Oryza sativa Japonica Group: one gene and its partner. The protein of the gene in region 1 interacts with the protein of each later gene in a pairwise test. Links are inferred from orthologs where the notes say so. Each region holds a gene or a part of one and is shown on either strand. Other genes may lie near its edges.

The links.
Region 2: the proteins of polyadenylation and cleavage factor homolog 4 (region 1) and protein CLP1 homolog interact in a two-hybrid assay, tested with the Arabidopsis thaliana proteins (3 studies listed by BioGRID). The link is inferred for Oryza sativa Japonica Group from reciprocal best matches to the Arabidopsis thaliana genes PCFS4 and CLPS3.

The regions. Positions count from the first base shown.
Region 1 is NC_089042.1:5,174,664-5,181,324, forward strand, and holds the start of polyadenylation and cleavage factor homolog 4, read right to left. Parts: upstream 3,680-6,661; 5' UTR 3,535-3,679; coding exon 3,265-3,534; intron 2,196-3,264; coding exon 1,830-2,195; intron 1,647-1,829; coding exon 1,530-1,646; intron 1-1,529.
Region 2 is NC_089036.1:6,588,262-6,595,009, reverse strand, and holds the start of protein CLP1 homolog, read right to left. Parts: upstream 3,592-6,748; 5' UTR 3,476-3,591; coding exon 3,287-3,475; intron 3,153-3,286; coding exon 3,084-3,152; intron 2,969-3,083; coding exon 2,867-2,968; intron 2,452-2,866; coding exon 2,210-2,451; intron 1,781-2,209; coding exon 1,642-1,780; intron 1,540-1,641; coding exon 1,483-1,539; intron 1,001-1,482; coding exon 866-1,000; intron 524-865; coding exon 291-523; intron 1-290. UniProt on the Arabidopsis thaliana protein: Required for endonucleolytic cleavage during polyadenylation-dependent pre-mRNA 3'-end formation. Functions in gametophyte, embryo and postembryotic development.

The sequences.
Region 1 (6,661 bases):
TCAACCCTGAACATTCAAAACCACACATTTTTCATTCTTCGCACAAATTTGAAGTGGTTTTGACAATTTGACTTTTGATAGACATGGAGTAAGATTACATGGCAAAGTGGAAAGGCTGAAAAAAAATCGAATTTCAAAAATTTTAAAATAAAAATCTTAGAAATACTTAAAAATTGCCACTGCTCTATACGGTATTTTGCAACAACAAAAAGTTCATAGGAGTTGAATAAACTATAATCCCCACAGAAAATAGTTTTAAATCTAGATAAAACCATTTTTGTGCATCAAATAAACTTGATTTTGCTATGCTCATAAAGTCATAATTTATTTATGTTTCAATACACCAATATGCAACTGAGAATCTTTACAGATTATTTTTTGTGAAGTGGTTTAAAAATTATAAAAATTCAAATGCAATTTCATCCTTGGGTTACGTATTTGAATTTTACAAAATAGTAATTGAAGTATAAAAACATTTGTACATTAGACCATCTAGAACCTATTTGTTCAGAGTGGAATATAGTTTAATTATCTCCTAAAATATGGTTTTGTTCATATTTAAGCACTATTTTCTGCATGGAAAACTGCAAATTGTACTATATTTTGCTCATATAGAAATATATCTATGTTATAAATACTCCATAGAAGTTATAATTTTGAAGAATTTTGAAGTCATTTACAAATTTTTAAAATTAGAAAATATTTAAAGTCTTATGCCACATCGCCATGTCACCCAAAACTAGGCTAAATTTGGGTAATGTTAAGACTTGAGAAGGGCAGAGTTCTGAAAGTGAAGTTTGGGGTTGTAAAAAGCATTTTCTCTTATTTAATATTGAGATGGATGGATTTTGTTACACCTGGAGACAACGAAGGTGCTTTACATTGTCCCAAACAATGCAAATGTCATCACAAGAGTTATAGGAACTCACTGAAGACTACAAACAGAGCCAGGGTTTACAAATGTGTTAAATCACATGGTTGTTGCTATCTCAAATAACCACTCCCAAAACAGAACAAAAGGGAGGTTCTCCTTTGTCAAGCTACAAAGAGAGCACCTTCAAAGCCCCTATTGATGAGTCAGTAATCAGTACATATATGAGAAAGAAAACAACAGAACTGCTTCTATGTTGTAAAAAAGCACAAATGCATTAAGGATCTGATTTGCAACTAGTAGATACTGTCTTCAGTGTTAGGATTTATGCAGTTTAATTTTCTGGTGATCACAGGAGAACCAGAATGAGTTGCGCAAAAAACAGAACTCATTACTGTGTACTTATAAAAAGATAGGACTCAACAGTAGCATCTATCTGTATAGTATTGGCTTATACTCCCTCCGCCCCAAAAAAAGCTAACTTAGGTGGGGATTTGACACCATCTAGGACAATGAATCTGGACATGAGGAGGTGGTGTCAAATCCCCACCTAGGTTGGTTTTTTCTAGGACGGAGGGAGTAGGTCTCAAACCTGGCTGGTAATTCAGAGTGAAAGAATGACAAGAAGCAAAAAAAAGGAAGATGAAAGACCCAGTACCTGGAGCTTTGAATTAGTTGCAGGCCATCCTCGCGAACTTTTAGATGTTAAACCATTTATTTGATCCTCTTCCACATCATTCATTTGCCGATTTCCACGAGTTATTGGTTGATGCACCTAAAAAATATATGCACAAACTCCAATGTATAAAATTGATCTGAAACAGAAAGGCATCACATATATCTCAAGCTAGGCAATGAAATAAATAGACACCATGCTTAAATCACACAACAAATAGTCAAAACAACTAGCTGTAGCAAATAATCAAGTTGGTATTAACAAGAAGTAAAAAACACATACCGAAGTTGACTGCTTAAATTGTTGTTGTGCTTCTAAATATTTTGGATTTACATGAATGGCATGAGACAGTCTAGGAGATATCGACTCTGACTGTCGGATATCAGTCGCTGTGGCAGAGCGCTTATTCTCTAAGGGGGAAAACTGAAGCTCATCCTCAATTCCGCGTAGCACAGAGGAAGGGAACACTTGTGACCAGGTACCAAAGAGGTGTCGCATTGCAGCATGCTGATTGCGGTGAACTTTCCTATAGGCATCACAAAATACCTTCTGCAACCTAGCGGCAAAATGCCCTACATATTCTCGTCCTATGTTCTTCACAATACTGTCTAGCAGATACAAAGATGGTAATTTCTGGTCGGCAGACACCTGTAACAAAATTGAATAAGAAATCATGTAAAGGAACAGTTCGTTCATAGATAATTAATAGAAAGCATGCATATGATTAAAATTAAATCAAGCAGTCTCTTATGAAATGATGAACAGAATCTGTAAAGAAAGCTACATGGTGTTCTGTTAGTTTAGTTTATTAACTCATTTCTCTTAGGATTGGTTACCATATTGTTGCCATTTAAAATTGCAGTTTTAATGTTCTCTTCAGAAAAGAAATCAAAACTAAATAACTAATAGACTATTAACAGACAATACAAAGCAAAACAATACTGCCCAAGAGTCCAACAATAACTCTAAATCGTTTTACTGATATTCCATTTCAAGCAGCAATTATGTTGTGCCAAAAAAACAGCTAAAAGAAAATTTTAGAAAAATTCCCAGCCATGTAAATTCCGAGCAACCAATCACCATTATTTTCCCTTTTTTTGGTTCAGTTTTAGAGACAAAAAATTTCTTCCAGAACCAAAGATCCTAGCAACTTCATTTGGAACAAGATAGCCTATGCATGGAGGCTGTGAATGCCATTACCACCTATACGCTTGATTATCTGAAACTCAATTCTAGTTATAGATACATCACTTAGATATCACAGACTGGTGCTAGGTGCCAATCGCATACACTCCGTTTCCATCACTTCACTTTAAAACTTGTTGAATCTCACTCTGATTACTGAACCCTAGCAACCAAATTTGCAACAATCGGAGCCACTACAAACAGGGATTGATCCGATTGTTCACTATATGTGCATCAAGTCAACAAAAATCACACATCAAATGCAACGATTACAAAACCCTAGGAACAAAATGTCATCTACAAAGCGCACCAAACCCGAACTTTTACACTGGCTCCAAAATTCAAAAACATGTATATATCTAAAATTTTCAGCAGAAGCACATCACCAAACCCTAGCATTCACAACAATCAGCAAGCAAGCATATCCACTGGACGAGTAGTCTACGCAAGCCCACACATCCCCAAAACCTAGGCTATGTACATACAAGCGAAGAGCCCCCCGGATGAGGGGGGAGAGAGAGAAAACAGCAACCTCCGCGATGCGGGCGCAGATGGCGTCGGCGATCCCCCTCGCGGCGAGGGCCGCGTGCTGCCCGGCGATGATGGTGAGCTCGGTGATGATGGGCTTGCAGTTGAACGTGAGCTCCGAGAGCACCTCCACGTACACCCGCACCACCGCCGCCGCCGCCACCTCCCCGCCTCCCCCCTCCTCCTCCTCCTGCTCCTCCCGCAGCCTCGCCCTGAACCTCTCCACCACGTGCCCCACCCCGCCCGCCCCCGCAACCGCCGCCGCCGCCGCCATGTGGGACGGAGGAGATCCCGCCTTCCCGCCTACTCCCGCCGCTCCCGCCGCCGATGGGGGACTCGCCGCGCCGGGCTAGGGTTTGGGGGCGCCGCGACGAGGCGGAGGCGGAGGCATATGCGTCGCGGAGGCGAAAGGGGGAAGAGAGGTTTCGATTCGGAGTTAGGCGAATTTGGGGGATTTTTCTTCTTTTTTTTTTCTTTTTTGAGGGAGATTTGGGATTCGCTGGGATTTAATTCCGGCGGTGACTGATGGGCTCTCGGCCGTCCGATCCTGATCCGACGTGCCAGATCAAACTGGGGGAATAGAGTGAGACTGCTCTGCTGGACTCATCGGCTTCATGTCTTGTTCGTTTGTTGTCCTCCTCTGAGAGAAAAATGGTAGTGTTCCTCTTGTGTGGATTTATGGCCTTGTGGAGTTGTGGTAGATAAGATGTCAAATGCATGATGGCATTATGTTTTCTGTAGATCTTAGACTTCACGACGAAGTTGCTTGAGATTCTTTTATTTTTGTGATGGTTTGCTTGTTCAGTACACGCATTATACCCATTCATATTATTTGGATGGTAAAGGCCGATATTTGAAAAGATTGTCATTGATGTGTTTGATATGCCTCGTCCTTGTTATCGATGGGATGAGGTTATGGTGAATGTTGATGCATTTTTGTTGAGGTTTTTTTTTTGATGGTTTGCTTGGTTAGTACATGCATTACACCCCCATTCATGTTATATGGATGGTAAAGAATAAGATTTGAAAAGATTGCCGATGATGTGTTTGATATGCCTTGGCCTTGTTCTCAGTGAGATGAGGTTGTGATCAATCTTATTGCTTTATTTCGCGAACCCTGGTCAATCTTGTTGCATTTGATGCATGTTTATGATATGCATTCACATCCACGATTGAGCATGAAGTATGCATTACTTGTCAAAATCTCTTTACTTGTGGATCTTTAAGAAGACATCACCTTTTATTGCTGGAAGATTCAGTCACCTTCAAAAAGATTGAGTTGTAAATGCATTAGATAGGCATACGGCCTTTTTCCCATTGTTTTAAAAAGAACTTTATACTAGGGTTTAATCTATTAGTAGGCACTGATATGACCGGAATTTCAGAAATTACAATAATTTTTGGGCCAAATAATTTAAAATTTAAAACAAAAGTTGGTCAAGTTTGATTTTTTTTTTATAATTCACAAAGAATCAAAAATTTCAAAAAAAAAATCTAGGTGAAATAGTTTGTTTGTTTATGTGTCCAATAGACCCGAAATTTTCAGTTTCAATGCTCTAGTGATTTTGGCAAGTAGGAAGGATACATGAATTTAAGAGAATTTGCACAATATTTTGGCCTTATTATTTTTTCCTTCAATATTACGATATGAGTTTCGGTATGAATTCCTAACATTACAAGATATAAGAACTAATCATGCAGACAACCACAGCCATGTTGGGCTGTCAGCCTGCCAGGCCTAACCTTCAAGCTCATATATAGTTCATAGCTAGCCCAATTACAGTCAATCCTAGAACATGTCTCATTGTGCAAAGATGGACTGCAATGTATATATGTATGTATGGGCCCACTACACAATCCAGTTAGTCAGCTGAAGCCTGAAGAAAAAACAATTTATAAGACACACATGACTGCCCATTTGCATATTCTAAGTAGAAATCACCATCTTTGTTCAGCCCAAAAGATGGTTACAATTATAAAAATAACAAAGTGCTAGCTGGTGTATTATAACCATCTTTCTTGAGATATTCTCTCCACATGATACTTTATGATAGTTTTATTGATGATTAAGACACCAAGGTCAATATCTACGTATATGTTTGGTGGATGCCATGTGAATGTTGTTGTCATAATACCTAGAGAGGTAGGGAATAGAGATAGATGGAGAGAGAGAGAGAGAGAACATAAAGACATCACATTGTCATATATAGTTATTAATTTGGCATTTGTACTTTTTTTAGGTGAACTTCATTAGAGTGCAGACCCACATTGAACACCAAATTCAGCTCACATGAATCTGCATAAAAATTGTTCAATTGGAATTTAATTCCATAAGTCTGGTGGCCATCTTGAATTGAAATTAGTGCTTTCATCACAATTCCAAAGGATCAAATTAGCACAATCCTGTCAAGGTGATGCTCTGTTTTACCCTTATTCTGTTTTAAACCAATGATGCTTGAAGTTTCCCCATGATTAATACTAATATTGGAGAGGAGAACTCCAAAGTTAAAATTAAAAATGTACAGGGACCAGATTTTGAATCTAATTCAATCCAACTGCTCAAATCTGAATATTCCAAGAACAAAAAAGGAACACTAGGCAAGTAAAAAACAAATAGCCCAACTGTTGTCCATGTTCTTCTCAAGGACCTAGGTACGTGTGTGCTTCGGCATCTTCGATGTGCACGATTTTATACTATTATCAGACACATCGAAGAGTTCATCTCGACTCCATCCACAAATACTCCCTACTTTTGATTGACGCTTTAAACAATGACACGCTCTACAATATATATCTTTGACCTTATTTTTCTATTATAACATATACAATAAATAAATACATGTTTACTTTTATAATAGTGTTTTAAAAGACAAATATATATATATATATGTTTTTTTAGTTTTTTTAAACTAAATATTTTAATATTTAAAGTTATTAATGGTTAAAGTTATAAAAGTTTAATCTCAACCTTGTCCAAAACGTTAATATAGAACCAGAGGGAGTATCAATTTTCACAAGTCACAACCTCTCACCATCTACTCGTCGTCTTTCTCCTAATCATCCAAGTGAGACGATCTGATCCCTACAGCACAATGAGATTAACACTTACTGTACACACTAAACCAGCATTAAAAGGTGCAGAAATTATCAAATTAATTCGTCATCGAAAACGACGTCAGAGTTCGCAGGCGGCGTCAAATTTCATGCCACTCGGGGAAGGCGTGTGGATCGACGAAAAAGAAGAGTGATCAGTGCACAAGAAAGGGCTACGATGAAAGCTACATCGACGAAGGAAGAAAAAAAGAGAGGAAAAAGGAATATCAGAAGCTGATGTAGTACTAATTTTTTCTAAGTCGCTAACTAACCTGTCCATGAACAGATTAGCCAGCTAGCTTTCAGAA
Region 2 (6,748 bases), on another chromosome or scaffold:
CTAGAACTGTGCACAGACAAGTTATTTAGTGCATACAGATAATAGATTGGTCTGAAGAAAGCAAAATAATATCAAACATGTAAAACATGCAAGAAACCCACCCATCTGAAAGACAATACAAAATTCCATAAACTTTACTATGTATTTTTCTTTCCTATACCTGGGCCCTGATGTACCAATTATATGCATAAATAAGGTATCACCGTATCAAGCTGTATTGACTATGGCTCTAAGCATAAACATTTTAGTAGATGTAAAGCATAAGCACTAATTTGGGCAGTTGGTATCACCTGGAAACTATTTCATCAGGTTCCTTAGCATATGAAACAGCAAGCACGGTGTGGACCATATCTGTGCTGATGTTAACAGCAACAAGTCGAGTAGGGTCTGCCACAGGCTCTGCACCAATCGGTAGTGCAGACTTAGGAGCTTGATGAGTGCCAATCTTGTAAACAGATACATCACTGAAGTTAACAACATTTGAGTGTGGTGCTAGATCATTCGCAATGCCATAAAAGTACTCCTGCAAAGCGAGTGTTACAATTTAGCTTTAGCAAACCAGAGCAGAATAGGATGGCATTAACTGAACAAATGTAACATACGATTGCATGATAACATTAGAAAAATGAAAAAGGAGGTGATATTGTACAGTAATTCATGTGTGTTTAAGCCTCCTTCGATTGTAAGATAACATTAGAAAAATGAACATAAAGGTGAGTCACACTGTACAGTAATGCATGTGTATTTAAGCCTACATCAATTAATTTCTCATATTGCCTACCAAACAATGCCTTGTATTGAAACATTGACTTTTGAAAGTTGAATCTAGGAACTTCCACATTTTATTATCAGAAAAATAATTTACCTTGATACGGAAGCTTCTAGTCTTTTGACGGTACTTTGGATTTCTCGGAACAACACCTTCTGATTTATGAAGTTTTACAACATCAATGTTGGGCTTATTTTTTGCTGCATCTTTTAGCATCTTCCATAGTTTCTCCTGCAGTAGACAAATCAAATGATCCAATCTTCAGGACCATTTCATTTCATGCTTATTCATGATAGCACTTGTCAACATAAACCTAACAGCAATAGTTTCGCTGTCCTTTGTGTGTGTGTGTTGTTGTTAGGGGAGGGGGGGGGGCAGTAACTACCCCTATGACAGTATAACACAAGCTAATAATTGATATCACACAAGCAAATGTCTAGACAATAATACAATACTTCAACAAAATGCTTGGTTGCCCCCCCTAGATTCATACTGAGGTATATAAACAGCAGCCATCATCAACATCAAACTGAACATAGATTCCAGAGTACACTTGGCAGCACATAAGAATCAGGGAATACTAAATGACTAGAGAGCTCTCCACAGCCCTATAATACAAGCATATCCCTCCTGAAATAGCACTATGAAGTACGATAGTGACATCCCATTTGAACAGAGTTCTACAACACTATGAAGAAAACAGAAGCACTTGCCTGTCCCAATACCAATATTACATTAGCCTTGAAAATCTCAATTGAATTGTGAAGTAACTGCACAACACAAATGGTGAATTAACTCATGCTAGAATATAAATATTAGCCATCAACACACATAACCAAAATCTAAGTTGCTCATGAAACAAATAAAATTACCTCTAAACCAAGGTTTTCAACCCACCCCATAGTATTGATAATCATTCCTGCTGCCCTAGATTCAGAATTTCCAGAGAATTGTTTATCCAATGTCTGAGCTAGCTCCTTCATAAGAGCTCTGTAAACATCTGGACTAACACTGTCAGCAACATAAAGAAATAGTTGAGGTGCCAAAAAAGTTGAGTAGAAGAAAAGAAGTCTTTATATAAAATACATGGAAAAAACAGTTAGGCCTTGTTCAGTTGCGCTTGGATTTAATCTGGGCCAGGAATGACAAGTATAGTAAGAGATTTATGATAGATACAATGAGAGACCGGGATTTATTCCAGGCCGGGAATCAATTTACTCATGATAGGGACAATAAGAGGCCGGGATTAGTTCCACACCTCTTGACTAGTGGATTGATTCCAGGTCTCTTATTATCCCTATCATGAGTAAATTGGTTCCCGGCCCGAAATAAATTCCGGTCTCTCATTGTATCTATCATAAATTTCTTACTATACTTGTTATTCCCAGCCCGGATTGAATCCAAGCGTAACCGAACAAGGCCTTAGTGGGAACGACATACCTTGGGCTTGGATGGCCGTAAAAGTATGCAAGCGGCATCTCCAAGGGAATCCCATCAACTATATCTATAGGCTTCTCAATGGGTGTTGCCGAAATACATCCAGGTATGGTTATCGAACCTTGGCCAATATCTAAATCCACATATGTAGGCTTCCAGCCCTGCTTGGCAGCCCAGCTAAGGAGCATTTTGCACAAAGTACTTTTTCCAGAATCACTTGGCCCCACAATGATCACTCTGGGTCCCTAAACCGCGAAGAGAGGCAAAACTAAGCAAGACAGCCCAAAAACCTCGGGATAAATATACCCTTTGTTCGCACAATGTTTCAATGTTTTCAACACCCATATTCAATTTTGGACCGTAGGGTACTCATCAACTTGTAACCTGTTATTGCTCTAACACATTGGTTGTTAAACAGAACTAGTTTTATGTTGGAGTACATAGTACAGGCACACACACTATATTATTTCTAGGAATCTAAAACACCTCATGTGCAACAAACTGTAAAATTAGCATGCTAGCCATCCCATAGTATTATGCAATTATGTAATATACATAACAGAATCAAAAAGTGTGCATCTACTACACAATTTTTGACCAATTAACCGTGCAATAACTTGCATGACGAGATGCCAAACCGAGAGAGACGAGATCACAAACCTGCGAGGACTCCGGCAGGGCACCCTGAGCCGCGGCGGCCCTCGCCCTCGCCCTCCTCGCGTCAAGGATCGCGTGGGTGTTCACATAAACCACCATCGGTGTCTACAGCCATGAGCATGTAATTAGTACTATGTCACAACCACATCGCATTGCATTGGAAGAAGCTCAAAACCCCAAAATTCACAGGGGGATTAGAATATGGAGAAGAAGAAATCACCTCGTCGGACGTGTACTCGCTCTCGCTGACCCCGTCCAGCTCCACCGTCGCGCCGTGCCAGGTGAAAATCTACCCCGAAACATACCAAATGGCAAGAAATCAGTGGTCGCAGCAAAGCTGAGCCGAGGCGAGGCGAATCCCGTGGCGGGTCTCTTCTCCTCCGCGGGAGGTGGGATGTGGGAGGAGGAGGAGGGCGCGCTTACGGCGATCTTGGAGCGGGGCGGGACGGGGACCCAGCCCTCGGGGGGGAGCTCGGTGCCGAAGACCTCCGCCGTGCCGGCGACGAGGCGGACGCGGACGGGCGCGTCGGGGGGCACCTCCACCCGCAGCTCGCTCTGCGGCGCCAGCTTGTACTGCCGCGGCGGCTGCGCGGCCCCGCCCGCGGCGGCCATGCGGGGAGGGGGTGGGTTCTCTACCGGCGGCGGCGGCGGCGGCGCCGGCTAATCGGCGAACGAAGCGACGGCCGCCGTGAGGGGAGAGAGGAAGCCGAAGCGGTTTTGGAGATTTTGCGAGAAAAGGAGAAAAGGATTCGTTTTGTTTCGATGGTTTTGGGCATTTTTGGCCCATGTAGGGATTGCAATTTGGGCTTTGGCCGGAGCCGGGCTTGGATATTGGATTCGGGATCACCTATAAATTTTCTCCTAAAAATTTAACAGATGTATTTAGAATATAATTATAGTGTAATTACACTGTAATTTGTATGTAATTATACGGTAGGTACAATGTAATTTGTATGTAACTTTCATATAGTTTTAAACCGTTAGATCTATTTCAAGTTTTGTGCAGGTTAAGAAGAAAAAAGTCACAGTACGCACATATGAGAGGATTTGATCCCATGATCTCTATTTTACCGAAATAACATGTTATGTGGAGATTTTTGAAAGTTACATACATGTTACATTGTAGTTACAGTGTAATTACATATAAGTTAAGTTACAGTGTGATTACATTATGATTGTAATATAATTATATCTGTCATATTTTTAGGAGAAAATTTGTCGACAAATATATAGGAAATCTATTGAAGTTTAAAAACATTAAATTCAAACTCGATTTATTTATGAGTAATAATAAATTTTATATAACCAAACATTTCATGTTCAAAGGTGCAGAAACCAAACACAATTTTATCTTCATTATATTTTTCAATATATCGTTAGGGACTACTGTATATATATGTCAATGCATCCATTACCATACTCTATGATAACGATGTTCACCAAAAAGATTATAAAAAGTAGTATACACGAACAATTTTTCATGATAAATATTATCCTGTTATTTCACAAATTCAATCTCGATTATTGTCCGTGCGAGTGAGTTTAGATTGCAAACTCTCAGAATGTTAAGATAGAGAGTAAGGGTGTGTTCGGAATCCTCTTACCAACTCACCCTCTCTTTTTCCACGCGCACGCTTTTAAAACTGCTAAACGGTGTGTTTTTTTTAAAAAAGTTTCAATACGAAAGTTGCTTAAAAAAATCATATTTCTAATTTTTTTATCACGTGCTAAAAAAAATACTTCCTCTGTTTCACAATGTAAGTCATTCTAGCATTTTCCACAATTATATTGATGTTAATGAATCTAAATAGATATATATGTTTAGACTCATTAATATCAATATAAATATGAGAAATGCTAGAATGATTTACATTATGAAACGGAGGGAGTAGCTAATACTTAATTATACTTAATTAATTATGTATTCACGTGCTAATGGACCGCTCCGTTTTTTTTCGGACCACTAGGCACAAATTTGAGAGTTTACTTCAACTCACAGAATTCTCAATCTAACTCCAATTTCGTCATCTCAAATTGAAACCACTCAATTTACGTCGAATCTTATTTGAAACTCACCAAATTGCAGGACATTTCATTTTTATTTCATCATCTCGCATCACATTTCAAGTCCACGCGTGACGCGCCTACAATCATTGACAATCGCGAGTCGTCTCGTCGCCTACTCTCCTCGATCTCCGCCATTCTTCCTGCTCGCGAGCTACCTACTCCTCCTCCTCCACCTCGCATTGCATCCTCTCGATCGCGGCGTGCTCCGATCCACCACGATGGCCTCCCGCCAAGCGCCGCCGCAGCCGCCGCCGGAGGAGGAGCCCCCGCTCCCACCGCCGGCGGATCACCATCCCCAAGCCGACGCCGCCGACGGCGGCGGCGGCGACGGTTGGGCCACGTTCGTGGGCTACTCGCTCGCAGCCCTCAACTCCACGCTGGAGATGCGCCGCTTCGAGCGCGGCGCGCCGTTCTCCGCCGCCGTCTTCGCCTACCCGTACCTCCTCCTGCTGCTCTACTTCTACTTCCTCACGCGGTTCCAGGGAGCTCCCCGCGGCTCGCCGGGGATCAGGGACCGGCTCAAGGCCCCGCTGTGGCCGCTCGCGGCGCTCCTCGCCGTCGAGTTCGCCTACCAGCTGACGGGGGCGGCCAGGTTGACGCCGCGCGCCTTGGAGATCGCCGCCGCCGCCGCCGCGATCGGGGCCACCTACGCCTTCCTGCAGCGCAAGGCGTAACTAAGAAACAATTTACTGGAACAACTGTAAGAATTTTTCTGTTTGCTGTGTAGATTACGATTATATCCATGTAAACAGTTCAGTGATTGTGTGACGATGATGTCAATTACTCCCTTCGTTCTATATTATAAATCACTTTGAATTTCTATTAAATCAAATTTGTAAAATAAAAGAGTAAATATCAAAGAACCACATGTACATGTGCTTGTTTTTTTGGAAATCGACGGTAGGAGCTCTGCCGAAATTTAATTAGAAAGAGAAAATATAGTGCTTGCAAGCCAGTTAGAGAAAACAAAGAAGACATCAAGGCGGCCTAAAAGCCGACTTGCGGAGATCAAGCTCCTGCTTTATGACATAGGCCACCTCACGCTCGGTCTTAGCATTATTAGCGAAAATCCTATTATTTCTCTCTAACCAAACATTCCACCATGTTGTTAGGAGTGCTCCTCTAACCGCCAACTTTTGATCCTTTGAGAGAACGCAGTTGATTGCAGCCCACCACACGGAGGTTCCGGCCGTGGGATCAGCAATAACAGGTGGCAAAGCTTGCCAGGAGCGAACAAAGTTCCATACTTCTCTGACGAAGCTGCAAACGCTGAACAAATGATTGGTGTCTTCGAAGGCACATGTGCATAGACGGCAAATCCAATTACACGGCCAATGTCTGTGAAGTAAGCTTTGTGCGGTTAAGGTTTTCTGATGAAGGACAAGCCATCCAAAGAACTGAATTTTCGGCTCAGCCGGCGTCTTCCATAGCGAGGAGAAGTCAATTGGTGTGAAGGATCCTTCGAATTGGAAGAGATATGCACTCTTGGATGAGTAAGACCCTGACTCATTCCAATTCCAAGAGATATCATCTATGCTGTCGGAAAGATTTACATCTTGGAGCAAGCTTCCCAAGTGCACTAATTCATTTAGCTCTTCCACTGTGGTGAATTGCCTAAAGGAGCCAATCCAGTTGTTGTTTAGGAGTTCATGAAGGACACATCTCTGCTTTCTTTTGGCCAGTTTAAAACACAAAGGTGCTATGTCCTTCAGGCAACAGTACTGAAACCAATTATCATGCTAGAAACTAGTCTTATCCCATGTACATGTGCTTGTGTTTCAAAAAACCCCATGTCTAAGCATCTGGTTTCAGAATACC